Linked DNA regions of Daphnia pulex. The protein of the gene in region 1 interacts with the protein of each later gene in a biochemical or structural test. Links are inferred from orthologs where the notes say so. Each region holds a gene or a part of one and is shown on either strand. Other genes may lie near its edges. The genes, in order: synaptosomal-associated protein 25-like and complexin-like.

The links.
Region 2: the proteins of synaptosomal-associated protein 25-like (region 1) and complexin-like are reported together in a solved structure, tested with the Homo sapiens proteins (2 studies listed by BioGRID, with this or other methods). The link is inferred for Daphnia pulex from reciprocal best matches to the Homo sapiens genes SNAP25 and CPLX1.

Annotation. Positions count from the first base shown.
Region 1 is NC_060020.1:8,648,598-8,664,719, forward strand, and holds synaptosomal-associated protein 25-like, read left to right. Parts: upstream 1-3,986; 5' UTR 3,987-6,001; coding exon 6,002-6,154; intron 6,155-7,773; coding exon 7,774-7,815; intron 7,816-8,448; coding exon 8,449-8,497; intron 8,498-9,346; coding exon of another isoform or gene 9,347-9,395; intron 9,396-9,833; coding exon 9,834-9,951; intron 9,952-10,109; coding exon 10,110-10,238; intron 10,239-10,357; coding exon 10,358-10,502; intron 10,503-10,637; coding exon of another isoform or gene 10,638-10,700; exon of another isoform or gene 10,701-11,063; coding exon 11,064-11,132; 3' UTR 11,133-12,880; downstream 12,881-16,122.
Region 2 is NC_060023.1:9,962,062-9,978,048, reverse strand, and holds complexin-like, read left to right. Parts: upstream 1-7,338; 5' UTR 7,339-7,495; exon of another isoform or gene 7,496-8,036; 5' UTR 8,037-8,184; intron 8,185-10,068; exon of another isoform or gene 10,069-10,070; 5' UTR 10,071-10,182; coding exon 10,183-10,237; intron 10,238-10,638; coding exon 10,639-10,802; intron 10,803-13,528; coding exon 13,529-13,664; intron 13,665-13,782; coding exon 13,783-13,856; 3' UTR 13,857-15,420; downstream 15,421-15,987. Other genes in the region: cytochrome P450 4c3-like, read right to left, coding at 1-11, 97-163, 243-437, 512-596, 688-767, 842-1,037; cytochrome P450 4c3-like, read right to left, coding at 1,976-2,235, 2,358-2,442, 2,532-2,629, 2,737-2,908. UniProt on the Homo sapiens protein: Positively regulates a late step in exocytosis of various cytoplasmic vesicles, such as synaptic vesicles and other secretory vesicles.

The DNA.
Region 1 (16,122 bases):
CTTTGCAATCTTTGAAGACTAATAATCAACTTCTTCAACACATCTCGTCGATGATGGTTAGTGTTTAACTTTCAGGCCATCCATTCTCGAGCTTCACGGATCGTCTTTGATTCTAGCATTATTTGTTTTTTAGTTTTCTAAAAGGATAACGGTGCTGAAAGATCGATGAGTAACGTTGTGTGATACTTTGGAGGTTATCGGCGTCACATGCACAAGTAAAACCCCTCACGCAATGTGCCTTGTACCTTTTTGTTTGACTAGGTCGTCTCTTGAATTTTTAATGACAGTTTACTTTTGTTTTCTCTGAGTAAGAGAAGTGGGTTGATCTGGATCATCCATTCGTTGGACCTACTGCAAACGAATAGCGTAAAGCAATAACAGAGAGAAGGAGAAGGGAGAAGGCTGGGCTTTTTTCTATTGATCCAGATTGTACACTACCCGGCTTTCGGGCGGCTGCTCCTCCTTCCAGCTGACGCCATTCTTTTTTTCTTTTGCAATCTTTTCTTGTTTTTTTTTTCTTTTTTTTGGTTCATGCATAACTCGATCGTCATGGGTTTCAGTACTTGCCTCCCACGGCCTAGCACATCTGCGTGATTAAAATTATCGTTTGCGTGCGAACCCAACTCTTCCGAAAAAAGAGACGACGGCCAGAAACGCAAATGAGATTTCAAAAATATAATAATATAGATTTTTTTTGTGTGTATAAGTTAACAAAACCCGATTACCTCGGAAGCCGCCTAGAGGTAGACGGGTGTGTCAGTCAAAAGACTTAAAACGACTTTGCCTGTCAATAGGCAAATTTTAAAGAAGAACCTATTCTATGAGATGATGACGTTGGTCCCGCCTCTGCCCCTTTTTTTTCTTCTTTTTCCCTTTGAAAATTGGCGTTGTTGTATGCGAGGCAGAGATTACACCACTAGTGACGCGTGTCGCTCACCGGATGAGAGACTACACATAGTGCCGATAGCGGTTCTTCGAAAAGTTTTTTTTTTCCCCCTATTGAACTTGTTTTACTCCGGGAAGCAATTACCAAGTACGTTTTGTTCCTCCAATTTACTTTTGAACAATTGTTGTAAGGAGAGAGTTGGCCAGCTTGCGAGCTGGAGCTGGAAGGTATCACGAGTTAAAATGCTGGATAATGACACTGTCTGTCTAGAGAGCAGTGGTTTGTTGTACGGATGGGCAGAACCCCTTCAAAAATTAACCAGCGAAAAATTCTCGTTTGCCGGGGTTCTTTGACTCTGCTGTGCTCCGTTTTACTTGTTCTTTTGATGTTAGATTGTCTCATTCTTCCGTCTCGATGGTGGATTTATTTCGATTGTCGTCGTCACGGTTCTTGATCAGATGGATCCGGTCCAGCAAAGCTTATCGGTGGTACGGGTGTCCCTGCTCGTCGTCGCCAGTCGTAACGTTTGGCTAGTCAGCCACTAGACTGCGTTGTTGTGCCGGGTCGGGACCGTAGAACCGCCGAAACTGAATCGAATGTTGTCTGACTGTGCGTGTGTTGGGCCACAAGACAACGACAGAGAGAGAGAGTGAGAGAGAGAGAGACCGCAGTGGGTGGAGACTGGGTTCGGGATAGATGCGGACGACCTTCATGTAGACGCCACCCGATGCCAAAGAAGGATGAACCAAACGGGATCACTGAAAATCAATAGTAGCAGCAGCCCCCATTGCCCACACCGACCCCCTCCTCCCTCTTCACTCTCCCGCGTGAACCAACCGTGGCTGTCCTCCCGTTCGCGCATCACCCGTTACTAAAGTGGAGATCGAGCCAACTCGCAACAAAAATCACTTAGTTGTTGGGATTTTGGGGTTTCACTTTTTCTTTCTTCTTTCCCTGTAGTGTGTGCCGACATTAGTGACAACTCTTGTCGCTAGATGGTGTGAGCCACCGAATGTCTTTTCTATCGACGCCGTGCACATTTGTAACACAAATACGTAGCAAAACATACTTGCGAAAGTAGGAAGTAACCTGTGCTTGCAGTATTGATCTATAACGGCGCCATGCTGCCGTACATGGATTTTTCAACCCGATGCTTATTGTTATCGCTAGGTGGCCTTTTGTAGCGCCACATTTTCTTGTTTTGATTTTTCTTTTCCGCTCCGTCCGTCTCTTATTGTTCCCAACGTCTCGGTCTGTCACCAATAGGAAGCGGCGAGTAATGGTGGGTCCATCTTAACATGTTGCTGACCCATAACATTTGACCATCCCGTAGCGATAAAGAAACCTGCCTGTCTACAAGTCCATTAGAATCTCTACTGTTGGATCTGTGTGGCTGAAATAGCCATAACCTGGCAATAACATAGATGTAAGAAATGCGGTAATTGTATTGAAGATACAAGGAAGACATAAGATCAAGTTCCCTTTTGACCTGATCAACTCTTGTAGCATTTGTCGTCGGCCACAAGCGAATGTCACCATGTCAGCTCACTGTTTCATCGTTGGTTATTTCCGACCCGATCGAACCGAGAGCCTGCGGACGCAGACTGGAGCTCGATGGATTAATCAAATCGCCCATTTTTTTGTCTGAGAAAGAAGAGCAGGATTGGGGGGGGGGGGGGATATGGTAGACCACTTGCTTTGATGCGACAGAGTTGAAGTGTGTCTCAGTGTCGCAGTGATTATGTTGAGAGCATCATAACTATAGTCGAATTCCCGTTTTACGTCATCTCTTATTATTCTACTATTTAACGTACGAATTTCTCGCTTCTCGTTACAGGTGACTAACTCAAAAAGGAAGCGAAGATGGCGGCCGCAGTGGAAAATGGTGGTGCTCCCAAGACGGAATTGCAGGAATTGCAGATGAAATCAAACCAAGTCACCGATGAGGTAAGCCTGTCAACTCCATTCTCTAGATGAGGGCAGACGATCGTTTCACTTTCAGCCAGCCAAGTTTTCGTACGTCTAGTTCTTAACGATTGCCGTTTGACATCGGATAGCACTCGTGTCTCCGACATCCGAGAGGCGAGTGTGTGCCTGATATGTCAGGTCTGTTGATGTCGACAAGTCAACGCCATGCCCAGTTGCTGCTGGAATAGGTTAACTCGCAAATATTGACGGAAAAGTACTGAATAAAGGCTGGCCGTAACGGTATATATATTGCCAATGTCAGCAAATCAAATCCATTTATTGGAGTGAGTCAAGCCAAGAATGGAGTCTAGTTTGATGGGCTGTATGTTTTGATGTCTGAAGGCAGGGCGAAAAATGTTGCGAAATGCCCTTTTTTTATTTTTTTTATTTTGGTATTCATAAAACTGGGCCAGCCAATGTGGAAATGTCGCTGCTGCTGCGTAAAGGTGGAACTAATTCGTTGTTGGTACTTGGGGATGTTTGAGAATCTAACAGACTGAGCGCACGAGACCGTAGTTCGAAATTCGATAACTGCGTCAAACCGGATGCGCGCGGGCGCTTTGTGTGCGGCGCTGCCCCAGCGTTTTTGATCATCAAAGTCTTGTGCCTGCCCGAGCGGGCCGTTTTCGCCTCCCAGTCGCTTACCGCTTCTACTTGGTCCTCACGTCATTGTTGTGCGCGTGAACGGGCTCAACTTGATGCAACCGCGCCGCTTTACTTGACGAACACCCAGCTCTGCTCAGCTCTGCTCAGCTCTGCTCAGCTCTGCGTTTTCCATTGCATCTCGACAGATCGACCGAGCCGTTGCGAGTTGCTGTTGGTCCGCTTCCGGGAGACGGGACCGCATTTCCGGCATCTTTCATTCAGCATCTTCACAATCGCGTCAATTAGTTTAGCCCGGACCTCATTCCCGCCCGCACTCGCCCAGCCGGCCGGAGAGGAAGAGCCTCGTCGAGAACAATTTGAAGGAAGAGAAAGTCACACGGAGCGGAACACTTTTGGCGTGTGTGCGAATTATTCGTCTGCAAAGGGCGACGGAAACGGACTAGCGGTGTCATCGGACAGGTGCGCCGTTACAGAGCAGCCTGTTTCCGCCGTCCCGATCGATCCGCTCATCCCGGGTTTTTCTTTTTTTTTTCTCCCCCACTCCCCACTGGCAGAAAGCACTCTGAGCTGACCAAAAGCGGTGCTGTTTCGTTTTTCTCACCCGAGTCTCCGTCTCGACCTCCCAGTTGTCTCATCTGTAAAGCCGAAATTTGTGTCGTGACACCTGCGTTTTTTCCTTGGAACCGCCGACGACCCGAGATTTCGATTGCCCGCCATCCAGCCGAGTAACGTCTGACCCTCTTTTTGTTTGTTTTCAACGCTGTCTGTGTCAACGTATCGATCGTGAAAAACAGTAAGCAAAACAGAAAGTGAAAGTGGCGAGAAAAGTTGCTCTCCCCCTCTCCTTGTAAACTCGCTCATTGACGGACTCGCTCGATTGTCACGTATTTTTTCGACGACCGTGACGTACGTGCTCTGTCACTTCTTCTTCTTCTTCTCCTCCTCTACACCCACAGTCAACAACGGCCCCAATGTCTTCTTCATTAGTCTCTTTCTGCTGCGTCTCAGTCTTCGATCAGGTGGCAACTTATTTTCGGCGACGCTGTTGAACGATCGCTGGTGGCTGTGCTCGACCAATCTCCACATCTCTCCATTTCTTCCCGTCTCCTTTTTTGGGGTGATTGTAACCGGTCCTTTTTTGCCGTCGGACCTCCTTCCCAAGGGCAGCAACCGGAGCTTCCGACAAATCCACCACCAGCACCTAGATCAATCGTGAAACTCCATCGTCCCGGTTGGCTTCTAATTCCAGCCGAGAGCCAATAGACGACGTAACGGCGTCGCACACCCTCATCCGAACATTTGAAATCGAATCTTCCAATTGCACATCATTTACTCTCATCATATCCTATTGCATTTCTTGAGTGGTTGTTTGTTTGCCGGAAGAGATCGTTGTCGTGCCTTTTTCAGTCTATTTGAACTGGTGAAAGCATTGTGGAAGTGGAGAAACGCCGAACTACCTGGAAGTCGGATAACCCTGGAGTTCGTCAAATCTGCCCACAGGGATTGCGCGCGTTGGCTGACGTTACTTCCAACTCTCCCCCCCCCCCTTTCTCCAGTGGTTTTGTTGATGTAATTAGCGTCGCCCAAGTGCCCGTTCCTTGGCCTTTCTTTCGTTTCTTTCTTCCAACATTCATCTGACGTGTGCGCTTCTTTTATCTCTCGATCATCGGAGAGAGAGAGAGAGAGAGAGTCCCGACCGCCGTCCTATCTGTGCGTGTCGCACTCGTCTGTCGATATTTATGATGGCTATCCTCCGCGCCGAATAAGAAACTACAAGTCAAACTGGACTGCACGAGTGCTCCGACATTTTCCCCAAGTTGATAGTTTGGTCGCGTGCCGGACGTCACCGTTTCACTACAACGGACGTTTCCTGCCCTTATTTCGATTCCCAGTACTTTTTTCTTTCTTTCTCTCTCTCTTTTTCATATCCGTTCGTTGCGCGGCTCGGCGTTTTCTTCTCCGTCGTCCGACAGGAAAAGGAAGATTTTCCGAAAGTAAGAGAAAGATAGCAAGCTCGTGAGGAGTGTCGAGAAGTGGCGGAGCCTTAAGTCTGAATTTCCCCAATCGGAATGCACAACTGACGACGATTTGTGCCAAATCGACGCCAAAGGCAAAGATCGGAAATCCCGTGTGACTACCAATTTCCCAGGCCTTTTTACAAATGGTCGTCTAGAGGTGCCTGTCGTCGCCGCCGCCCGTAGGTATGGATCGCGTTACCATGGGAAACGATGACTCCGCCGACTACGTCACTGGTATCGGTATGTTAGCTGACTGCCGTCATGCACCTTCCACCATGCAACTCGTTCACTGAAATAGATACAACCAACAACCAACTACTTGAACTCCAGGAGGTAACCCAACCGCCGACATTCTATCGTGGTGGGGAGAAACAAACAAGTAAGCCGTCGCCAAAGCTATTGGGAGGCAAAGAGACGAGATAATCGTATCGTCGTCGGAGAACTTGAGCGTGTGTGTGTGTGTGTGTGTGCTGCTGCTGCTGCTGTTTATTGCGTTGTGTTCACGTCCAACCATTGTGCAATCATGGGGATCGAAACGGCGCCAGGTAACAAGAGTAAAGGCTCTTCGACGGCGGCTGCTACTGGACCCAACTCGGGCAAGAACCCACCGGCCAACCCTCCAGTTCGCCAGTTTGCCAATCAACTCCAACAAGATATCGAAGATGTTACCGTAGAGGTGAATATATCATGTATACGACCCGCTCCTCACCCAAAAAAACGAATACAACAATAAATATCATAGTTTGATACAGAGTAAGAAATGGCAGGACATTCTTCGTGCGCAATAGCGAGATTCAAGTCGATGTGTCACATAGTCTCTACTTACACGTCGGTTGGTGTCATAAGGTGACAGACAATCCATCAGTCCGTGTTAGGCGTTTTTTATTCAAAAGGTCCGAGAAAGGCTTTCAATGCTTTCAGCGGATACTTGAGCACGGAACTGAAAGAGAGATGGATAAACGCCACCGAGGCAACTGGATAGGGGGGCAGTTACAGAGAGACATATTTAGCGTCGTGCTAATCATCAGCTGTGCCCATTCGCTGCAGAAAAGATGCCGAACAGATAGAGAAACATGCAGCTGTGGACGAGTTTGTGTGTCGAAAACCCGCCTCTTAGCGTCATTTGCCAGGTTGCTGCCCCTTTTCCATTTTTAGAACACCTTCTTCTTTCTTCTTCTTCTTCTTCTTCTTGGTCTTGTTGTGACTCGGCCGGACGGCCGGAATAACCTTGTGCCGATCATCAAAGGCGCCGGTGTAGCGACGATAACGGCGCGAGACGAAAGATGCGCATGGGCAAGCACGTCAGAATGTCGCCGTCGCTGAGGCTTGTTGGCTTCCCGCGGTCTGTTTCGTCATTGTCAGAAAGAAAAGAAGAAAAAAAAAAATAGTCTTGCCCGGCAACCCCTCAGACTTCAATGAACTGGCGTTGCCAGGATACTAAAAGCAATCCACTCTCTCTCTTTCTCTCTCTGGGAACACGTGAAATTCATTCTGCGGTTGCTTTAACACGTTTTTTTTCTCTCTCTCCCTTGTCGGGTCTTATTGTCTGTACCTAAAACGCGAAATGACGCCGAGCCGGTCTTCTCCTACCTCCCATCATCATCTTGTTTTCGCTGCACGTAAAGACTCCTAATCTGGTCTTGGGCTGTTGGCCTACTCTCGAGGCCGACGCCCTTCTCCTTTATTAATCTATATTCATGAATGTACCGTCGTTTCCTACACGGTACACAACCGACGACGCCCACGTTTCTCACCGACGTTCTTTCATATTTTCTTAATCGTCGCTTGAATTTTCGGGCGACTTTCATGCAGTCAACAGCCGAGCAGCAACCGTGGGGTCATTGTCCGATTCCTTCAGATCTCCATTTTCGTTTTTTTTTTTCTTTTTAAAACAGCATTATTTGGTTATTTCGAGCTATCCTTAGTCACGTCAGAATGAAGTATGTGCATATAAATATTCTGGTCTGGAAGCTGGTGGAATGATTATTCGATTCCTCAGCTTCTTCTCTTGAATTATTTCGAAATATCGCTCTGACCTTTTCCTGTTGACCCCAATTCGCCTGCCAGATCAAGTTTTCTAGCTCAAATGTTTCCCGGCAAAAATTCAATTACAGTGCACTCGAATAAATAAATGGCTTGATTCCTATTTAATCTGTGGAAAGTGAAACTATCGTCTGCCTTTTATATTTTCTTTATTTTTCATTTATTTTATTTTTTTCATTTTTAGTAGGTCACACAGTGTACTGTATACAAGATCAGTTTAATTAAATTTTCTTTTTCTTAATCTTTTTCAAGTCATTGGAGAGTACTCGCCGGATGATGCTGCTCTGCGAAGAGGTAAGACCGAAGTTATTGACTTAATATATTTGCGTCGCACACGAGTTTATATGAGACATGTGCGAATGGATGGGTGTGGTAAGTCTAGTGTTTTCTTCGCTAGAAGAAAATATAAAGTTTTCAACCCAAGATGAGTAATTCCTTCTTAGCTAAGCTAAAGTTCACAGGGTAAACCAAGCAGAGTGATGTGCGGGATTGTAATCGTCGTTTTTTTCGCACAGCGCTGCGCTCTTATTGATTTTCACAACTCGTATTGTGCCTGTGCGTTGTAGTGGTTTGGTATTCACGTAACGCAAACATCCTCCGCATCGAGCTAAAACATTGGACTTGGAACTATTCTCATAATTTACGAATAACAAAAGCTCAGTCGCCATTGAATACGCAAACTCTGGTTTCTAATTTTAATCCAATATACGCCCATCCGACTCGCTAGTTATAACTTTATAAGTCAATCAGTGTGCACTAATTTGCACAGCAACAGGCGACACTATGTCAGACACGTAGGAGGTCTTGGGCGATGTTGGGTTTTCTTATTGTCTAGAATCCGTGTGTTTTTTTTTTCTTTCTGAACTTTGGTGGCGATCTTCTATCAACGGTACGTGTCGCCATTGTTTTTTGTTGTTTTTTTTATAGAGCAAAGAGGCCGGCATTCGGACACTTGTGGCGTTGGATGACCAAGGAGGTACATTGATGTGCAACAAACACAATATTTATTGGTTTCAACAACATTCTTTATTGTCGTCTAAATGTCAATACTGCCTCCTTATCACTTTTCATATACCGATTTGGTCGTGATTTATTAGCCGTCGCTTTCAAACAACGCCAGTTCTTTTTTTTTTTTTTTTGAACTGTTGTTTAGCTGTACATTAATCGCTTGAAAGAGTCTCTTCGTGCATGAAAGAATTGATTCTGATTTGCTGATCTCTCTTATTTTTTTCGTATGGATGTAGAGGAAATCCTATTAAATTGTTAGACGCTAGCAGATGGGACTGTTAGTAATAGTTCCATTTTATCATCCGGGATGCTTCTATTTTGTTGGAATGAAGTTTAAAAGAAAATCTCCGAGACGAGGTGTCCAATCCAGAAAATTAATCAAAACAACTTCAGTACTTGATTATTCAAACAAAAGCCAGGATGTGGTGAAACAATCAACTTGAAATTATTTAAAGATTATCTTCGATATTTTTGTTTCTTTATCATTTTTAAAAAGGTTGTATTTTTGGATCATTTTTGGCTTAATTTAAAAAACGCAATGCCTGATTGGGTGCCAATTTTAAATTTCCCGCTCTTTCCTTCAACATCGCGTAGTTTATTTACACTATACTCACTAGAATAAGCAGCTGTCTTTTTAATTTATTTTTTTCTCCAAAATTGTTTAGTATATTTGTGTTGATATTATTTTCCTTTTTTTTCCATAGAGTTTCACTATCGTTTTCGTTGAGCTCGTTATTTGGGTTTTGCTTGTATTTTTCGGTTTCACTTTTCTAGTTTTTTGAGTTTTTTTTTATTTTCTTATTTTGTTTTACTGTAGAGCCAAGATGTTGGTGCCAAGACTCTTGAGAATTTGCACGGACAAGGCGGTAAGACTTGTTTTTATTTTCAGTTTCTCGTGTTGCATTTGAATTGCTTTGAGCAACTTGAAATCTCGGTGATCCTCAATGCTGGAAACTTGCTAATTGGTGATTTCATCTGTAATTTGCTTGCTGTAATTTGAACTCTCGGATCACTTATGGAGCTTGTCGTTTCTTGCCTATATCAGTCTTAACCGCTCCGAGAGATTCTCCACTTTGTTACCTAGCACCTCGTCTGATTCATAATTACAGCACAACTGCCAGTGCCATTCGACAATCTTTGCTCTCAATGATTTTTTGTTCATAGTCATCTTTATTCATTTTTATTTCCTTTTTCGTTCACGATCTTGCTTCATGTTTCTTGATATGAGGCCGGTCCCAATCGTTGATATAGACACATGTTATTGATTCGATGGTAATTCAAGATGTCTTAATAAATAAATACAGAGCAACTGGATCGCATTGAAGAGGGCATGGACCAAATCAATGCCGACATGAAAGAAGCCGAGAGTAATCTAGCGGGCATGGAGAAATGTTGCGGACTCTGCGTCCTACCCTGCAACAAGTGAGTACCTTGTTTGTTTGTTTTCTTTCCTCTCATTTTTCATTTTCAAGTGAAGCGAGCCGTTTGAGCAGGAACTGATTTCTCTAATAATCAGGACGAAAACTTGTTGAATTTAAAAATATCGATGATTGTTATTTATTTATTCCATCTTTTCTCAGATCGTCGCAATTCAAGGAAGACGAAGGAACGTGGAAAGGCAACGACGATGGCAAAATAGTCAACAACCAGCCAACCAGAGTTATGGATGACCGCAACGGAGTCGGTCCAGCAGGCGGTTACATTGCCAAGTAAGACGCGTCGACCCACACGCCTCAAAGTCCGCCACTCGAGTGGCTTCGACGGCGATTGCGAATAGAATTGTCGTCGTCTTGTTACATTGTGCGATTTCGTTTTCTCTCTTTAACAGGATCAGCAAGGACGCCCGAGAAGGTGAAATGGAAGAGAATATGACCCAAGTGAGCACGATGATCGGCAATTTGCGCAACATGGCCATCGACATGGGCTCAGAAATTGAGAACCAGAACAGGCAATTGGATCGAATCAACGCCAAGGTAATTAGGCTAATTGTGATGCGCCATGCACGTGCTGTCGTGTGGGACTCGTTCAGTGTCTACCGTGGTGGATGATCTTTTGATTATTGAATTATTGAAATGTTGGTGATTTGTGTGGAAAACGTTTTTGTACAGGGAAATTCAAACGTCACTCACGTCACGGAAGCAAGCCAGCTTGCTGACAAATTGCTGAAATAAGCTCCAATTGACGAGATGAATATGTGCAGTACGGACAATAAGCACATTTGACATTTTTATCCCTGCCTTTTTGTTGTTTTCCTCATTTCGTTGTCGGCTTTGCTGTTTGATTTTATGGTTGATTCATTTTTTCCTGGTGAGGGGAGGGAGGGTGTGGTTGGGTTTTTGCGTATTATTCGTCGCGCTTTTGAAACGCTCTCTGTCAGAATATCTGACTATTTAGACATGTCCTTAGCCATTTATTGCCTAATAATCGCGTTTCCGCCAGAAAAATGAAACCATTTTAGAGCTGCAGTTGTTAGAGCGGCAATAGACGTAATTACTATTGATTGTTAATATTCTCTTTCTTCTTCTCATTTACAGGGTGAATCTAACGAGAACAGGATAGGTGTCGCCAACCAGCGCGCTGGACAATTACTAAAGAAGGCCTAAATGAAATTGAATGGATTGGCAAAATAAACTTTAAAAAAAAAAAAACCAAACAAAAAAATGGAAGAAACAAAAAAACAAAACCAAACAGAAAACCGTCTTTATCTGTCTGTCGGTGCAGGAAGGAAAAATGTGGATTAAGACTGAAGGATATTCGACTGTGTTTGTTTCACTTTTTCAAAAAATGTCACAATTTTTTTCTTTCTTTTATTCGTGCATGTCGTTTCGGCGACAAAACTTAAGTTGCGTGCTTGACAACTTCTTTACTACTCCCGTTCTCTAGCTCTCGATTTCTTCTCGAATTTTTTGTCCACATTGCTGCAATAACGCTTCCGACCACGAATTTTTCAGAAATCAAAAATCATCACAATAATTCACCCACCCACCCCCACCCCTTTCCCTTTCCTTCCCCTCTAAAAAAGAAAAGCAACTCTTCACTTGTGAACCCCGTCGTAGCGGTTTCGTATTTCGTTTTTTCTCCATATGGTGTCTGCCATTTAAGTTATCTCATTTCTCTTTTTTTTTTTTAACATGTACAGTTCATGTTCCTGTGCTTTTGTATTTTCTTGTGGCTGTACAACAGATGCTTCTTTTTTGCTGTGGTTAATTTTTTTTTTTTCTCTCCCCCCTTTCTCGTTATTACTTTGGGTTTTTCTTTCTTATTCTTCTCGTACTCGTTCGCTTCTCCTCCAACCGATTCAATGGATCCAAAAGTCCGTTTGACTTGATACATTTGACTTTGGATTTCTTTGGTTCACAAGTGCGTCCATCGCTTTATACCTTCCTATTTTTTCAACATTTTCAACAATGGAATGCGACTGTAGGGAACTCGATTTTTCTTGCATTCACTTCCTTTTTGATTTATTCTCTCCTTTTGATTTTATACCGGAATTGCATTTACTTTGCGCCATCCCCTGAAACTCGCTCTCTGGTTGGACGCACAATCCTTCGAAATGCATAGAAAGAAGAAGAAGAAAAATAACAAGTCTGGTCCATCACAATTTGCTGCCGTGTCCATGATTGGCAGGGGAAAAGTGGGTCCGATAGTCGTAATAACTTTGCAAAAAAAAAAAAAAAAGTCAGTGAACGCAAAATTGCAAAATCCTATGTGTGCAAAGCGAGAGAGGGGGCGGGGTCTGAGTTGGCGTTTGAGGAGTTTCGTTTTATTTTGTTCGTTGTGATAATTGAAAAAAAGAAGTAATAAGTTACACGTGAATGACTTTACGTTGAGTCGTCTGCATTGCGTTCGTTATTCATTACATCGAAATTTGGGAATCGTTATGTGGTAAATAAAAAAAAATAAGAACCGAATAAAAATTATTAAAAAAAAAACCAAAACAAAACAAAGAAGAACAATGGGAAGTTTCATCCAGTTGGATGTGGTCTTGCTATCGCTGAGATTTCTGGTCGGCTGTTTTCATCTCTTCATACATATATAGTCTCTTTTTCCTATAGTCTGTTTTTTTGAATTGCGTGTCTCATTTATATCCATTTATACTTGTGTCTAGATGTTGACTATAGTTCATCTAGAATATCTTTTAGCCACTACAAAACCGACAAAATCATATTATCGCTCTATTCTTACTCCCCTCGCCATACCCTCTCTACCATTTGGCAACCATTCTATCCACACTTCAATATCGTAATGTTTGTTCTTTCTCTTGAGATATTACTTCAAGATATGAGTGACGGTAATGGTATTCCTCCACGCTGTTTGTATTTTACTGGTTACAATACACATTTAGACCTTATATACCACGGATTGATCGCTGCAAGCAAAGAAATGTCGACCGTGCCTACCCCTTTCATTTATTCCCATGAATGTTTAGATATTATTTCGTCACCGTATCAATTACGCGTCAGCTGCCTTCACTGGCGTCTGTTGAGACCATCATCAGCTGCCGCTTTTGATTCTCTGTTTGACGACTATCGTCCCGCTGGAAATATTTCCTACTAGTCACACAGCGTGTTTGTGCGCTGCTTATGATCGCTCACACATCACGTTCCTGATGTTAGTCTCTCCGGCAATAACGATGAACGAATCATATGTCGAAGCGTACAAGGAAACTGTGATCCAACAGCATTAGGCGTTATCGTTCATTAATTTCCGAATCATTTCTATAGTGGACAAGCTTTCTTTCTGAGTTATTGGGAAACTAAATATAGCCCACCAGAGTGCGCAGTAGAACACTGCCGATGTGGCGGATATTATATAGTTGCCACCTGACAAAGGCCGAGCCGAGCGAGCAGCTAGCACTCTGCTAGCAGCCTCCGATATCGTGGAGAGAGCCCGTTTCTTTATTATTACGTCGTAAGCGCTATGGCTGCTTGGCTGATGGCAAAACCGCTAAATAGCCAAACCCCTACCGACCTTGACGTGTATAATATTCAAATGTGTTAGGAGGATCTCAAATGACCCTTAAATGTTCGTTTTGACTTGCTTTTCGCCTTTTCGGAAGATTCAGATGCCGACGCTGTGAGCCACTGTTGCTTTAGGTGTCTCGTTATTCTGAAGAATGGCGTTGATGTATATTCCGTAGGTTTTTCTTTTTCTTTTCCGACCGCAGGAAACTGGCTGCTGCTGGACTGGGCTGGGCTGCTGCTGCGGAACTCGGCCAGGACGGAACTCGGGGCCAACTTCCAGCCCCAGCGCAGCTAGCTCAGCCAGCGCAGCCAGCAACGAGCGGCCTGGAATCTTCAGCATCTGGATCTCGGAATCTCAACTATATACCGTCAAACAGCTATATAGCCAGCCATGCCATGCTGGGGGGAAAGTCAACGAGGGGGAGGCGGAAGAATGTTAGTCACTAGTCATTGGAAGTAAATTTCTTACCATACCACAGCAGCGGCGGCACGGCGAAGTTGGTGACAGAACCAATTGTCGGTATTTTCTAACCGTTCCCGCGCATGTTGAATCGCTCAGTGTCGCCATTCATTCGGTAATGTGTCATTTCCATTCCCTCATGAATATAGTGGACTACCGGCTACCGGCTACCCTTTTCGACGGCCGCCGACATCAACTTTTCCTCCCGACGCCTCTATGCGCTCGTCTCCAAGAGTCCAAGGGAAAACTTGAAACTTGGGTGTACATTTGAATGTTTCATCAAGGTGCCCCACCTTGAATAGGGCTCTAGGCTAGCATTATACAACGCAACGCTCAACATCGCTCTAATATTCAATGTATTTCAAACTGTGAAAAACTGTGTAGTACAACAGAAGAAAAAGAATAAGGAAAAAACATTTTCAAATGCCGCGGCCTGCAATAGGTGAAATGATGTCGTCTGAAATTTTCCCGTCGCCGCTTTCCGAATCGTGTCCGAGCAATAATTTCCACGCATAAGTTTGAGATTTGGCCGTCGGAGAGCTGACTAATACTCGACCACTCGTGCTGCACCTGTGTTTCCTTCGGTGTGGGGGGGCTGGTACTATATGGACACCAACAACCCTCTCTCCCGACCCCACCGGCTTCATCATCACCCAAACTGTAGCGAACAACTTGAAATTGCGTCAGCATGCCATTAAATGGACCGCCAGTCTAATATATAAAGAGTCGGAAATGGGTCCGTGAGAGAATTGGAGTTGACCGGCGGGCATAAATGCCATCAATGAACTTTTGAATGCACAAAAAGAGAGAAAATGGAGGGAATTCTAATGGACCGCCACCCTTGTCTCTCAATTTATAATGAATCATGAATCATGAACATTGAACTGATTTCGGAAAATGGGTCGAACCTTAACTAGTTTCCGTTCAATCTTCCGCTTCATAAAGTCCGATACATAATGTGCTAATCAGTTTTGTGGCTTTTTCAATACTTTACAACAATTATTATTTTGCGTTCGGATATTTCACGTGTTGTTTTCATTTCCGAATATTTTTCTCTAGAGTTGGCATGTAGCTATTTTATCTGTTCACAATTGATTGCTGCGCGTGCAATGATTTCAACTGTTATGGCTGAACTTAGTTGTCTGTACAACCCTGGATACAGTTAGCGTATATTCACTGATTGGAAAGGGGGATAGTTCGCTTTAAAAGTCAGAGCGTGAAATGGAAAGGCTTTCTTTCCATGCGTGACGCTTTCTCTGTGACATTTGTCGTGTCTCTCTGTCCTTCCATTCCACGAACAGCTTATCCAAACCTTGGTCATCAAATACACCTACACTCTCACTTTAGGGACTTAACAAAATAAAAACAATTTTACTGATTTTACTTTTTGAATGTTTTCTGCTGGGACAAATTGTTTCAATACGAAAGAGCTTTGTATAGCTATACCCACGGTACGGTATACAAGATAGTCACATAGTATTATAGTAACAGCCAATCCGTCGAATCTACTTTTTCTACAGCAAAACGGATTCACGTTAACAACCTTAAATATCGGAGAAGAAAGTGATCTATGCTTCATAATTTTCGGACTCTTTACTTATGATTTATGAAGGCGATCATAGTAGAAAATTCTCTAAGATAATTCGATGACGTAAAATTTCTGTTGTCTGTTTTTTTAATGAATTATTTCATTTGGAAACTGGCCGTAACTGGCTGCGCTTTTTAACGAATTGAACTTGGAAGTATCTAAGATTTGCTGCGATCTCCCTTGATTATTTCTATAAACGCTGTGCCCAATTTTGTGTCTGTAAAATATCTAAAATCTATAAATAGAACTTTGTTGTTGATTATTTTTATCCACAGTTTTCACTTATAAAAACCAAAAACGTACGGGAATTTGTGAACCGATCCGCCAGCAATACGCACGAGCATTTAACTTCTCTTTGAAGTAGTATAGACATATAATAAAAACTAAGAGTCAGAAATGAATTAACTCGCGAATATATTCCGGTGTTTGATGGATTCTGATTATTTCACTGGAGGTAGATAACACAAATAGAACGTGAGTGCTAATGTAGGAATGGAATACGGGTAAGAGTAGGGGAAGAGTATAAGACTGTTTCAAAAGGGGAGGGGGGTGAAGGGTGGGGTTGGAAAAGGGGCTGGTGA
Region 2 (15,987 bases), on another chromosome or scaffold:
CGTGCTCCAATCTATGTCGGCAGTGTGTTAATGAATGCAAATTTCTGAAATTGTCGTTTGAAATAAAAGTATAGGGAGATAAAAATGATAACTTACCCTTCAAGGCCCTGGATGTAGTTGATCGTTTCCTCTTCGCTCCACGTTTTCCGTCCCATGGAAGTTTCTTTTAAAGTCAAAATAAAATTGATAGAAAATTAATCTCATTGCGCTTATACTATAATCTAAAGGGTTTCACTCATTACCAGAGAGAATATCTAAAGCCAGTTTAGACATGATTGGAAACAAGTCCATTTCTTGGTCTTGGACGGTTTCGACCATTTCTTCCAATTTGGTAGCGCAGTCGAGGCTCAAGTCGTTGAAAGTGCCAATGAACCCGTTGAGAATTTGAAAACTGAACGCGGGATTCAGCATGCGACGACGTTTTCGCCACGCGTCATCTGTGAGTGGTGGTGAACCCGAATTAAATAATCAAATAAAGCTAAATGAAAGCTAACTGAAATCAAATGAATACCTGTAAAGAGGACAAGGCTTTCACCGTGAAAGAGATATTCATATTCGTGTGGCCTACTAATCAGTTTAGGGTTCGATAAAATGGGCTACATTCGGGGGGAAACAAATGACTGTCAGTATAACGGAAATAGCTGCTAAATAATAACTGTGCTGAATAAACAAATAACCGCTTATTACTTCGAATAGTTCAGAGTGAGCCATGAAAACGGCCGGATAGTAACTGATCCAAATCCGGTAAATAGGCTCGTACTTCACATCTGAAAAAAAATCTCAATGTGAATTCATTCATCGTTTTGGAATTTATTAATGTTCACAACGACCGTTTTTATACCATCGAGAGAAAAATTCGCAAGGTGGAGGATGTTGCCCAGCAAAGGAAGTGGTTTCGGTCCGGGCAGTTCGTCAATGAGACGGACAAAGCGGGAACGACTCCACACCCAATAATAACCACCCAGCAATCCGGCCAGGGCCGTCGTCATGGCCAGTGACGATGAACTCCATCCAGCAGACCACGAAATGTCCCACATGTTATTCAAACAAAAGTTGAAGACCAACTGATAGCTACGCCAGCAATGTCGTCCATAAACCCAAAACTGAATCAACAACGAACAAAGTCTAAAGAGAAAACGAATCTAGATAGTAACTGTAAAGGAGAAAGAAATTCTTGTCTTGATTTCACAGTTTTCACAATAAGGGTTGGTTGGCCGATTTTGGCGTTTCATGGCATATAGAACTAGTGGCAAATGCTGTCGTTTCACTGACCTTTTTGGGGGTTTTTGCACATAAATAGGAATAAATAAATAGGTTATAAGAATCAGCAAGACGAACCGGTTAGAAAAACTGTTGTCCTAACAAATAATTTGACCAAACAATATAAGGTTTATTTGCGTTGCCAAAGTTGAAATGTTACAATGAACCAGCGTTGCCATTTTATAGGAATTGTGTTTTCCTTCTATAACTCAAAAGTGGCGAAAAATCTAAATATACTAAATATGCAAATATAATGCCATTATTTAAGAAAGGCCCAATCTTTTAGAAACAATGAGATTGAATTTGCCGCCCTTGGGTTTCAGCATGGCATGAATGGCCGGAGTTTGCAGTGGACCCGATGGATCAGAAAGAGAAAATTTCAACCTGCGCAATATGTTGGCCAGAGCAACTTTCATTTTCATCATGGCGTATTTCGGCGCTGTTCAATTCATAAAAGAAAAAGAAATTCGAATTGAACGAAATTCAAATCTCCCGCCAGCAGCAAGTTGTTTGAAACTCACCGATGCAATTACGGACGCCAGCGCTAAATGGAATGAAGACATACGGATGTCGATCGACGCTGTTCTCCGGTAGGAATCGTTCCGGTTTGAAAGAATCCGGATCGGGGAAAAATTCAGGATTGCGATGGGTGCCGTAAATGTTTACCAAAACTGTTAAATCCTTTGGCAAGGTATAGTCCCCTATATGATAAATTTTAGAAAAGATTTCGAATATGTACATATATGCGCAAGTGAAATCGTTGTGAAATTGATAGATTCAACACCAGCAGAGACATAATCGGATGGACGTCAATTTCTTGGCAGCCTGATGATGATGATGCCGTCCCGAGAATTATTAGTTCGATTTTCGCAACGCAGTCGAGGCTCAAGTCGTTGAAAATATCCACGAACCCGTTGAGATTTTGCAAGTGGAACGCCGGGTTGAGCATGCGACGGCGCTTTTTCCACGGCTTGCCTGCGCGCGGATATAATTTCAATAACGGGAATATTAAGCCAATAATATAACACATTATGGAGAGGTGAGATAATAAAGCATAATACAGTAAAAACGGCTTTCGCCGTTAAATCTCATTATACCCGTTAAGATGGGAAGGCTGTTTTCGGAAAAAGCAAAGAGGTATTCCCGTGGCCTCGTCACATATTTATTGCTGGATAAAATTGGCTAATAATTGAATCACAGGAAGAGCCAATCGGTGAGATGATAATACTTGAAACGTATCGAATTAACATTTAATGTGTGATGTTATATACTTTGCATAGCTCAGGATGAGCGATGAAAACCACTGGAAAGAAACGGCTGATCCACATCTTGTAAATTGGATGACGGTGGTTCATGCCCAGCAACATTTCTATACAGCATAAGGGAAACAATTGGAAACCGACACTGATGGCGTCATTTCGAATTGGACAGCGGAAATAACGCGGTACCATCAGCGCAGCAAGTTGTATTACTTACCATCGGGAGAGAATTTCAATAGGTGGAGGAGGTTGCCCAGCAAAGGAAGTGGATTCGGTCCGGGTAGAGCGTCAATGAGACGGACAAAGCGGGAACGACTCCACACCCAATAATATCCGCCTATCAATCCGGCTAGGGCCGTCATGGCTATAGGGATGTTGGACTCATCCATTTAGACCACGAAACGTCCAACATGTTATTCAAACGCTAGTCACAGATCAAACTAAACACAAAATGATGTGTCGGGAAGTGGAACTTGGTTTAGACACACGTAGCGCAAAACCTGCAAAACCTGATGAAGAGAAAATTGGCCGGAGAACTAGTTTGATTGTAACAGAAAAATACTTTGTTTTGCGCTTTCTAAAGTCCTATATCTAACAGTTGATTTCTTTCAAAGGTTCCAACAATTAGTTGACACATTATTGCTATCAAAAGTAATGTTATATTTATGTGATTAGAAAATGGAAGCCATCATCATCGTAATCAGTTGGCTATTCATCATCAGGAGTTGCTTGTTAACATTGCATAGTGCATCCTGCTGCTGTTGGTGACCTTGATTGTTAATAAGAAAATCCTTTGCTGGAATCCCGTTAATATAAAAGTCCAATGTGCTGCTGCCCAGCAGCACCAAATTACAAATTGATGCTGTTGCTGGCTATATCACAGCGCGCAGCAGCAGCACATACATCAAAGAAATAGCATATAATATAATATAGTTAGTTGATAAGCCCTATAATCCTCGATCAGTACATAGCTAATAAATGATCATAAATGTATGCTACGACAAAACAGAACTTTGAAATTATATACAAGTTCAATTAAGTCACACAAATTGTCCATGATTAGGCTCGCTTGCTCATTGTATATGTATACTATGAACTTAATATCTTTCATTCCCTCTTGGCTTCCAAGAGGGTACTGGGGGATGTTATTAGGGCGGGTTTTCAGACCATTTGCGGGTTTTGTGCAAATTTTTATTTGGACCTTGTCCGTCCAGGGTGGGCTTAATCAAATTGGTTAATTTGTTGAACAATTATATGTATACCAATAAAACAAATGGTATTAGATTTCAACTAAAACTTATTCCTTCAACTTATTCCTGTACCGCTTTTGAGTGGTTTGGATTCATTTATTTCAATAATTTATTTTTTAATAATTTATTTATCTTAATTAATTAATTTTGAGGGGGGGGGGGGGTTTGATTTTTTTTCATTTCTAATTTCTATCGATAACTTATTTCGTAAGCATGCTGATTAGAACAATTTTCGACAAGTGTCGTCTGCTCTCGCTGGGTTAAAATTTCGAAGAAGTCAGCAAAAAAGTTCAAAATTTTATGTTGTTATAGATTTATTTGTTTTGATGATAACCGTCATACTCTTTAGCAGGTAAATAAAACTAAAAATACAAATTCTAGAATGATTGTGGGAGCTACAGAAGAGACCTGTTCTAAATTTGTGAAATGTTACTTCCTAACGACTAGCATTTACCATGTGATTGCCCTTACGATGCATTGCAGTTTGTTTGTACTAAAAAACCTTTTTATTTTTTTCAGATTCGAGGCCAGAGTCAGCCGTCATAACCACTCAATATGCAAGTTTGGCTTGTGCTGGGATTGAGCAGCATGTCACCAGAAGTCTCATCGCTTGGGTAATGATTTTCATTACTTTTATTGACCTGTGACCTACTATAGATATTATAATGCTGCATTACCTGCATAAATGCAGTGTAAACCTTTCATTCTCCCATTTATCAACAATTAGGGTTTACCCAGTGTCTCATTTTCAACTTTTCCTTGTCGTTTTTCTGTCAATATTTTGTCGTAATCCATTTTCTATTTTTACACAGATAAACAGCATCCCTCTTGATTGGAGAAACTACCGATGTCGGCCGAGTTATGGATCTCCCTTCTTCACCTTTCTTTAAATGTCCTCGTGTACGCCCATGTGAATATGGATGTATTCACGAGGACACCCTTTTTACCCTATCCCGTCTGCTGGTGTAATTCAACTCTTCAGCGGCAGCAACTGTGGATGCCTGGCTGTATTTCCCAGGCATAAAGGTAGGACAAAATTGATCTCCATTCTTCCTTTTGGACAATTTTGGGTGGCGTTGATTATAAATCGTTACGTAGTCACGGAGTATTTCTGAGACGGAGTTTATTTCTGATGAGTTAGGCGGTTGACTGCAACTGTTTTCTCTCCCCGTTTTTTGTGTTTTTCCCAGTGAGGGTTTCTACTAAAATTCTCATTTGTCGAACGACTTCAGAACAGGCATGTTTTTGCACCTCATCACTTTTTCTTCAACTTTCACATTCGAAAATGTTTGAACTTGTTATCTATACGGTCTATGCTATGGGTCATTTATTAAACATTTAATCCAATTGCTGCTGCCATCGTCCGCTGTTAGAAAAAGGCGAATCCATGGCAATCATAATTCGATGTCCAGAACTATATTATTATTATACAGCGTACTATAATTCAACGCGAGCTTTTGTAATGCGAATTATCAGGTTCTTTATGCTGTGATGTTCTAGGATGAAAGAGACGGTAAATAGGACACAGGACGGTGAGTGCTTTAATATAGCGCCACAGGACTGCCTGCTGTGTTGCATGATGATCAGATGATGATTTCAGCTGCCTATATTATATAGACGATAGACTATTGTATTGTAATGATGGTCGGTGGGACATACATAGCGCAGAAGTTTGTTTTCTCTTTCAGAAATAAATGTTAAGCTGCTGATGGTCATGTTATAGGCAACTGTCGGATGCATTTGTAGGCATTTGTGTTAAAGGCTTATATATTTTTGATCCAATTCCATCATGTTTATTAGACTTATATTTCAGCTGCTGGGGGTATACAGTATGTTATACTACTGCGGTTCTTTTATATATGCGTTTGCCTTTATACATGTATGTATAGTACATTTGTGCTGGGTTTGATGGAAAAGGAAATGATGCTGCTCTTGCTGTCGCCCTCGCTTTTGATTTGCAACGTGACATTTTGACACGATTGAAATGGGGGTGGATGGCCACCGGCGTCTTCTATCATCGCGGGGGCTGTTGTCACATCTATATAATATTTCGTGTAAATGTGATGAAATAGCACTCAAGAATAACATTTTTTTTTATTGCCATTTTTACGTCTTATAAGGTCAAGATAAAACGATCAAAGGGATTTTTTTTTATGTAGGCCTATTATTAGATAACAGATTGGATATTATAAAAGAAATAGAAAAATGTCTTGTATACATTTTTCAACATTTGATTCTTTTTTTTTTATCGAGATTGCATTTCTATCGATCACCGAAACAAATTGCACAGCACAAGAAATTTGGAAATATTCAAAATAAATTGATGCGCCCTTTATATGTACCAGCAGGACTGATCGATGAAGCATATAGAGAAAAAGAAGGCAGAAAAAGAATATTATTATATAAAAATTTAAGCCTATATATAATAACGCCCCTCCATTTGAATTCGGTCGCATCAGTTTTATATTTAGACATTACATGTAAAAGATGTTTTTCGTTTTTCTTTTCTTTCGTGTAGAAATAAGACACAGCAGCAGCTGGAATAATTTTCAAATGGCACCAGATGTCACTCGTTTTTACACACAACACCGCTGTCTGTGTGCGTTATATATTCAAATGTAGGATAGTATATCCACACGTATATCCTTTTCTGTTTGGACCCCAAAAAAAAAGAGGAGAACGTGACACCAATCAGCTGATATAATAGACGTAGCACACAACATACGATCCCCAAAATAAAATATAATTGACATCATCTCAAATGTCTCGAATATTATCATAGGCCTATCTAAAAGTTAAAAAAACAAAATGATGTGAATCGAACTCATCTTTATATCGAATCAAATGAATGTCATTTGTATATTGTAGGCCTATAATAATATAAAAGAAAATATGCTACATAGGGGTGTCGAAGCGAATAATAATATCGTGAGTAGGACCTATATGCGGTCTCGGCTCTCCCAGCAGCATTTGATTACATTCAAAAAGAGTAGGAAAATAATAATAACATAAGGGTATATCAAATAAATGTACAACATGCTGTATATCTATAGAAATGGTGTTGAAATCTATATAGGAAACACGTTGGCGGTGGCGCTGTTTCCTGCACAGCAGCAGCAGCAGCAGCATGTGATGTGCATATGAGGACAGCACAGCAAGGGCAGATCAATATTTGAGAGTCCGGGGATCCCTTTATATATGCTGCTGCTGCTGTATATACGTCACAGCGCACAGGAAATATATTCGTGAGCGGCGGCGCCGGCGCTCGTGAAAATATCAGGCGCGCATCCTCCCATAACAACCCCCCATCCAAAACCACCCACCCATCATAGCGTTAGAGAGTCAAACTGCTGTGCTGGCCCCCCCAAGTTTCTTTTTTTTATTTTTCACGAAAAAATAAAATAAAAAAAATGTTGGTGGGTGGTGGCGAAGGATTTTTCTATATCAAACCCCCCACCACCCACTGGGTGATTTGAGAGAGAGATATAGGACTTGATAGACACACACAGGGGGCAGCACAGAGAAATTGCCATAGCCAAAAGTCTGGTCCTCGTTGTGGGTTATCTCCAGTGCAGTTTCGGATCTCGAGCCATCGACTTGTATATCCGCCCCGTTTTTTCTTATTCTATTAGACAAATAAATCGAATTCCCCCCCCCCCGTCATCAGTTTCTCAATAGTACACACACATCTCTCTCTCTCTTTTTCTCTTTCTCTCTGCAATTTCGGTAGTAGTTTTCTATCGTTCTTAATTCAAACATCACATTTTGTTGAATTCTATTCGTTATTAGACACAACATTCCAGATATCTCTGCTGCTGGCTGAAGGAATTTGCCAATCGATTGTTTATAGATCCAGCATATATATCTAGTGTGTGCTGTGTGCTGTCATAGTTTTCTCAAACCAAATTTTTAAGAGTCAATTTTAAGACAATTTTTCCTACATGTCGATTCACTGCCAATATTCCAGTTTCTTATTGTTGGGGGACGATTAATAAGTTTCAATGTTGGATGGGGCAAAAAGATTTGATTTGTATTATATAGCACATGTGCTATATAGATACTATTGCTGCTGCTGCTGCTGTGTATAATGTGCTGTGTGTAGTGCTGATGGTCGGTTGAGAGCTCAGATTCTCTCCTACTTTACTTAGAATATTCGTCACACGTCATTTTATATATCCGCGCGTTTCCTGGTCTTTTTGTTTTTCTCGATTGTAACTTTCTCTTTTCTCTCTCGTTTTTTTCTGTCCTCTTTTTTTGATTGATTTAGTTTTTTCCATATTCCTTTCTTCTTCTTTTCCTTCCTATATCTTCTTCCTCCTCCCGCCCCTCATCCTTCCTTCAGTGCGTGCGACCAATCCAAACATTATTGGCTCCTGTGGAATTCCTTTTGATTCGAATCAACCCAACTAAAAAAGGTAAGACAATCAACGCTAAGAAACTCATCATTTTGATGTTATTTATACGTGTCTAGATGTAGAAACCGGAAGTGGAAATAGTGTTGAAAGTGCGCCGGTAGATGTCGCAAGTGTGAACCAATCGGCATTTTAAAAAAAGAACCGGAAATGTCATAATAATAAGAATCGTAATAATACTCGAAAAGATGCTGTTTAGCTGTTTATTTTTGTATGTAAATTTGCCGGTAGACAGAATGCGGCAAGTTTGGCATTTTGTCTTTATGCTGCTATGTGCTGATGACCTAGAGTTATTTTTGGGTTCTTTTGCTGATGTGAAAGAGAAATAAGACAGTGCACTTTAACGGCGTCTCTCTCTCACCACTAATTCAATATACGAAAGTCTATACAGTTCATATTGAGCTCGGTTCTATAATGCAAGTGCAACGTGCACTATACAGCGGAGAGCGTGTCGGAACTTGACCTGCGCCGGCCTAGACTATATATAGAATGAACTTATATATGTATAGTCTAACTTATAGGTACGTCTATATTAGTGTATAATACACAATGCCCCCCAGCACGGTGCTGCATGGTTCTCTTTGGCTGGAGATGCGTGATGTCTGCACTGATGGCATCTAATCCAATTAGTTTAGACATCAATAGATATTATTTAGAAAGAAGCATGTGATGGAGCACGGCGACATTTCCAGCAGACTCTAATATAATACAAATAAGAATATCATCAATTATATTAATGTTGTTAGACCAGCAGTCTGATGGTCATGAAAGCTGCTGGACAGCAGCGGCCTGATGATCAATCTATTGACAATGTAATAATAGCTGGACAATTTTCCCATCATATATATAGGGCCTACAAAGGATCGATATTGCTTCTCAACCGACAAAGTGTTGGCCCCTATATAACATTTGAAATGTAGTTAGTCTAAACCTTAAATGTACTATATATCACGATATATATGGCCGGAGGGAGCGACTCTCTCGGCTGCTGCTGAGCGCGTGCACACGAACTCTGGATCTCTCACGTATCTTATATATTCCCACCAGCAGCTACAGCAGCTATATAGCAGTTCTACATATATACGAGACGATCAATGTTATACATAGCACGCGGTATACTATGTACAAAGTCTCCCCCGTGTCCTTGATCATCTATATAACATGGAGAAAAGGAGAATCACGCAATGTTCGTTTTTTCTCAACGATTCCCGTTCAATTGCTACACTGATGCTGCTGTATTATATGTGTATAGCCTATAATACTATATCCTATAGACTTGAGTGTGTAATATCCTAACAGTTGATCACGCGATATGTGGCTCCTTAATATCCTTATCAAAGTTAGAAGTTAAAAGGTAGAAAATCTAGAAACTTTAAAGGAATAGATATAAGCCGGATGTGCTATATATAATATGCTTGATATATATATATACAGCTCTGGTATACGGCGGTATTGATTCTTTCGGTGCTGCTGCTGGGCTGCCTCAATCCTCAGCAGGAGCCGGAACACAAGCAGGAAATGTCTGTGCTGGGCTGCCTACCCCCTTTTTCCTTTTCTTTTTTTGACAGCTTCTTTATATAATACGAGCTGTATTATAAGAGATGAGAGACACGGCGCTAATCAAATCATAAGGAATGCTGCTGCATTTCTAGATATTATTTATTATATAAGGCCAATATTAAATATCTAAATATTCGATTTTCTTTTTTTAGCACGTTTTTGTGTATCCCAGTAGACGTGTGTAATATTATATGCATCCACTTTAGAGTTATTTAGAGACTGAGATTGAGTTATGCGCGTGTAAATAAAATGGCTGCTGCTATGTCTGATTGAATTGATCTATTGTTTATGCAATCATTTTCTCTTATTCTTATTTTGTGTACACACAGGAGTCTTTGATTGGATATATAAATACAAGGAGGATCGACGTCGTTGGTTGTGTGCTGTGCTGCTGCCTGAATCTCCCACTGCTCAGTTGATTCAATATAAATACCAATCATCATGGCGGCTTTCGTTGCGAAACAAATGCTGGGCAGCAAAATGAACGCCGTTAAAGGTATTTATAAATATATTAATCATTATAGTTATTACTATTTTCCTATATAAACTGTGTAGGCCTATTTATCTATTACGCATATTATAGTCGTGATTTATTTCTATTCACAAGAAACGTTCAACATGGAAAACAACATTTAACAACATAAAACGTGATAGCCTACAGGCAGGAAATGCCTGCAGCCATATCAAAATGGCTCTACGTTTTATTTTAAACTTTGTTCTCAATATAACACATCACGATGTTATACATCTCCTTAACCTATAAATAGGTCTACATATATTTCTTATATACTATGATGTATAAAGCCTATATATCCGATGATGTATATAACTTATTTATCAAAGTTGATCGGTCATCTATATGCAATTTCATGCATTTACTACTATTATGATGATAAGGTCTGGGAGGCAACGACAGCGAGGACGGCGACACCAAAGACAAGGACGACGAGGCCGAGCGTGAGCGATTGGAGGCCATCAAGGAAGCCGAGGATCGCCGCAAGGAGAAGCACCGCAAAATGGAAGTGGAACGTGAGAACATGAGACAGGATATCCGCGACAAGGTAAATATATCTCTCAACAATATCACACTATATTTTATCACATCAAAAGGGACGCAGTTAGAGGGCCTATATTTATTATTATGTAATATGTACAACAGCGCAGTGCAGCAGAGCCAAACGCGTGCAAACATTTATTTAAATCTATACACAAAATAAATAGTATCGCCCTGATGTCTCTCTGATGTACAGAAAGAAAAGGAAAAGAAAAAGTTATATTAGAATATTTATATATATCTAATATAAAATAGTAAATAAATATTTATATAGCTAGATTGTGTGTAGACTGACGAGAATAGAGCGTGACGTGAACATGTGCATCGTTTTTAGATTTTGATCTGAGACACAAGTTTTGTTCGGTGCTGTGGCGTGACACAGAAACAAAAAAGTTTCTTGCTGATGTGTGTGTCCTATATCGATCATTTCAGATATATATAGGATAATATTATGTATTAAATGCGGCCGGGATTAAATCCAAAAATTCCATTCCGATCAATTTACATAGCCTACAGACAGCACATGTATGAAAAGGATCTATAAATCCCCAAAGCACCAGTATATATATAATATGTCATGGTTTTGTGTCCATTGTCCAGCACAGTTCAAATCAAAACTTTTGAGACATAATAGGCAAAGACCCATTAGTTCATTTGGCATCAGCAAACGATACAATAGAGAAATAGATATAGTACACATATACTTCAAGAGCTATTGTTTCTTTTCGCGGCCACCATTATACATGTATATCAAAAGCCTTGCTTGCTGCTGCTGCACATTGCGAGAAGCCACCAGGACAAATCTCCAAAGTCACTAACGTGAAAAAAAAAGGAAAGTTTCAAATGTCTAAGCGACAACAGCAGCAGCAGAGCCCACAGCCAAATATATAAAAGTCTGCGATAATATAAAAGTCGTCATCCCCCCACCCCTATAGCAGCAAAGAAAAGCTTTGATCTCGTGGGGTGCAAATCACTTTTTATACACAGAAAAGTCGTCGTCGTCGTCGTCGACTCTTCTTCTTCGTCTGGGAATAATAATAAGAAAAAAAGAAATCCCTTTGAAAATCCTTGTGATGTTGTGTGGGGGGGATCAAGGGGAGATGACAGCAGCAGCAGCGCGTCCTATAAAGAATAGAAACTTTTCGACATCTCCACACACACACATAGTCTAGGAATTTCTTGCTTATGTATGCTATAGTCGGCTATAGCTGGCTGGGGGTCTTATATATGACTATCAAATTTTTAATTCCATCAGACGAGCTGCTGCTGCTCTTTTGTGTGTCACTCTGTGAGACTGGTGGCAGAGTTCCAAGATGATTTCAACTTAAATCCCCCCACCCTTCTTTTTCTGCTGGCAGAAGAAGAAGAAGAAGCTGGACAGCAGCTATAAAGCCAAAAAAGGGAATATAAACAAGGAGAGCTAGATAGCCACAGAAAGAAAAAGAAAATGGCCAGCAAAAGAGATATATATCTCTGCTGCTTTAGCTGGAAACGAGACGCGGAAGAAGAGCGTTCCGGTCCGTTGCAGCTGAGATATATAGCACACACGAGCGAAGGGGAGAGAGAGAGAACAGCACATATATACTATATATCTTGGGATAGATAAAACTGGGCAGCAGCAGCAGAGCTATATAATATCGATCGCCGCTTAGATATATATATATACAGTAGGAGCAGATAAATGTATATAATACAGTTAAATAAATACATTTTGGTTCGTTAAACACAATGTGTATATAGTATATATATATATAAGGATTTGGACAGCAAAGAAAACAAAAGGCTCGAAATGTTCCAATAAAAAAGAACACACACAGCAGCAGCAGCCTCCATAAAGTGCTTCTATTATATCCTGCTGTGTGCTGTGCATTGCCCTAGATATAGCCTACTTAAACTTAACCAAAATATCATATAATCCATTTTGGGGCTATGTAGAGGGTGCTAGAGAAGGAGATGACAAGCAAAAGTTAAGAAAGAATCCATATTTTTCCCACACACACACACAACTTTCTTCTGTGTATAAATGCCGTGTAAACCAGCCAGAAAGCCGGGCACCGCCCATATATATTGCTGCTGCCCAGCAGCGAGACGAGGGGGATCGATAATTCCTCGGTCGTCGCTTGTGTTCAATCGATTTATCACTGTGCAATAGCCCTCCCAGCTCACATAATACAATGGGGGAGTTCCCACAGCATATAAGCAGCAGCAGCAGGCTAAATCGTCTTCAGTTCAATTGGGATGTCCTTGTATATAAACTTTTGTTTCAGCACAGCCGCGGCCAGATATAAGGAAAAAATAAAAAGACTTTTATTTTTCTTATTGGTTGATGATTGTATAGACATATAAAATATAACGCTGGCTGTTGCTGCTGCTGCTGCTGGATCGATGAGTAGTATGTAGTCGGCCATGACTGTGATGGTGCTGCTGGGGGATCAATGCGTGTCTCGACGTGAATTGTGTTTTATTTTTTCCCTTCTTTGTTTTATTGTTTACAACTATTAGCCGTCTGGAACGTCTTTTAGAGAGTTGTTTAGATGTTTGACCGCAGGCGATTGATTATTGCCGATGGCGTTTTACCCGCAGGCCAGCAGCAGCACTCTATTCGCTCGGTTATAATTGGCTATACTGCTGGACCTATATAATAATATAGCGCCAGTCTTTTAAAATGCCTTATATATTATATCGAAATGTGATTCGATTATATTCTATTATTATTGTTACATTGTTGGGCAGTACAATATCAAGAAAAAGGAAGAAGCTCCTGAAGCCGAGACTCAAAAGGAGCCGGACAATCCGCTGATGCGCAAGAAGAAGACGCCCGAGGAATTGGCCAAAGAAGCCGAAGAAGCCGACCAGGACGAATTGACAAGTATAATATTTAATAAATAATACATTGAACTCTTTTTTTATTTATTATAAATGAATTTAATTTTAATTTTTAATTATAAAATAATTTATCGATTGATGAAAATCTAAATTTTTCGTAGAATTGAAAAACACGTTGGAGACCCAGGTGAACGAGTGGAAGTCGCAGATCGAGAGCAAGTGCGTCATTCAGTGAGGAATAAAAAGCCCCACCGACTCTACACACACCACATGTAACTTCCTCCTCTTATGATATAAAACATTCAAATGATGGGAAATTGATGCCCCCCAATCAGCCCCAAAGAAATAACAAAAAATAATTTCCATCCCACCCAAAAAAACAAACAAAATATCGAACTTCATCTATAGCAGAGACGAGGGATAACTCTTATATCCAAAAATATTTTAATCGACACACACAAGATACTACAGCAGATTATATTCCAAAGGTGTGTCATTTTTTTACAATTGAATTTGGGTGGGTAGGCGATTCCTCCAGCGAAGCAACGACGAGCTAAACTATGCAAAAACATTAAAAATAAAAAGGGCAAACAAAAATAAAACCAAAACAATTTTGGGGCGTCAAACAAAAAATTAAAAAAATTTTTTTTTTTAATTCAATATACCAACCAAAAAAATTTCTTTTTATACACACGTGAAAAAAAAAATTCCCAAAAATTTCCCATTCCCCCAAAAAGTATTCCATCTCGAGTGAGAAAAAAAACAATTAAAACCCACAAAAAAAATAATTTTTTTTAATTAAAAGAAAAATGAATTAGTTAAGTTTTGAATTCCGTTCCATGTAATTTTTTATATTATATATATCCTCGTTGTTGTTGTTGGTTGTTGTTGGTTGTATATGTGCTCTGCTGCTGCTGCTCTGGATGCCCGCTGTGAGAGTAAACATATATGATAATAATATTTCAAAAAAAGAAATAAGATGAAAAAAAAAACAAAAAAAATATTCCACACACTGTTGTTTTGTTCGCGATATATTACACTCTCGTTTGTAGATTCTTCTCTGTTGGCCCCCGCCCCCCTCCCCCCATCATATTATTATTATTATTATCAAAAAAGGAGAAAGAAAGAAGAGAGAGAGAGTTTATTATATAGGCCCAAGTATTATATTATTATGTATACAGCAATTATCATTTAATAGGCTCTCTATCATTTGATATATATTATAACCCCATCTCAACAACAAACAAACAACCCCCCTCTCCCTCACAAACAAACCAATTCGAAAATATATAACAACAAAAAAACTAGTCATGTGTGTGCTGTGTAATTGTGTGTGTCTGTGTGTGTTTTACACCGCGCCTGCTGTTATTATATATATTTAAAACAAACAAAAAAAAACAAAAAAATTAATCATTCCATTGTAGAGATCGTTTTCTTTTGAATTCATGTATATATTTCGCGCGCTATTTATATGATGATGTAACGTGCGCATTTGTCGCGCACGTGTTCCATCAATATTTGCCCGAGTTTTATATATATATTTCGAAAAGAAGATGAGAAGAAAAGATGGGATGACAAAATTTTTTCTGAAAAATCCAACGATCCGACGTAGCCTTTATTGTATAGTGTCATCGCATTTATCGTCATTATTATTATTATTATCTTTCCATTCTCCTCTCTCTCTCTCTCTTATCTTTATAATCTTGACATTATTATTATTCTTTTCATTGTTGTCCCCATTCTCTCTCTCTAACTCTCTCTCTCTGTCTTGGGTTTCAATATAATTTCAACAAATCAAACCATGTCGCTTCTTATTAATGATTCAATTATTATTACATAAATTAAGGAGGATAAATATCGTTGATTCCTTTTTAAATATAATTTAAAATTTATAAAATGAGCTGCTGTAGAAGAGATACAGGGCGGCTGCTGGAACTATTCACGCGGGAGTTGTTACATTTAAATGAAAAAGGAATAAAAAAGAAAAAGTTCTGCCGCTGATGATCACTGCAGCAAGCGCGTCCCATACGAAACTTTTTCTTTTTTCGCGGCTAATTGACAGAGTGCCGATGAGATGCGTGAGGTGGGCAGCCGGCACGTTATAGTTCCATTAACAACTAGCTCATCCATATCAATTAAAAAGAAAGTCTCGTATATATATATCGAGGATATATATTATGTAAGAAAGTTCACGACGTGTAGCCTGTATATATAATAAATATAAATCTTAATTTCTAATTGAATTTCGCGCTCTGCTGTGTAGGCCTATCCCTTTTTTTATTCTGATCGATCATGAATATATAGCCCACACTGCTGATCGCCAGCAGAATAGATCACACATTTCCCATATTAATAATATCTATACA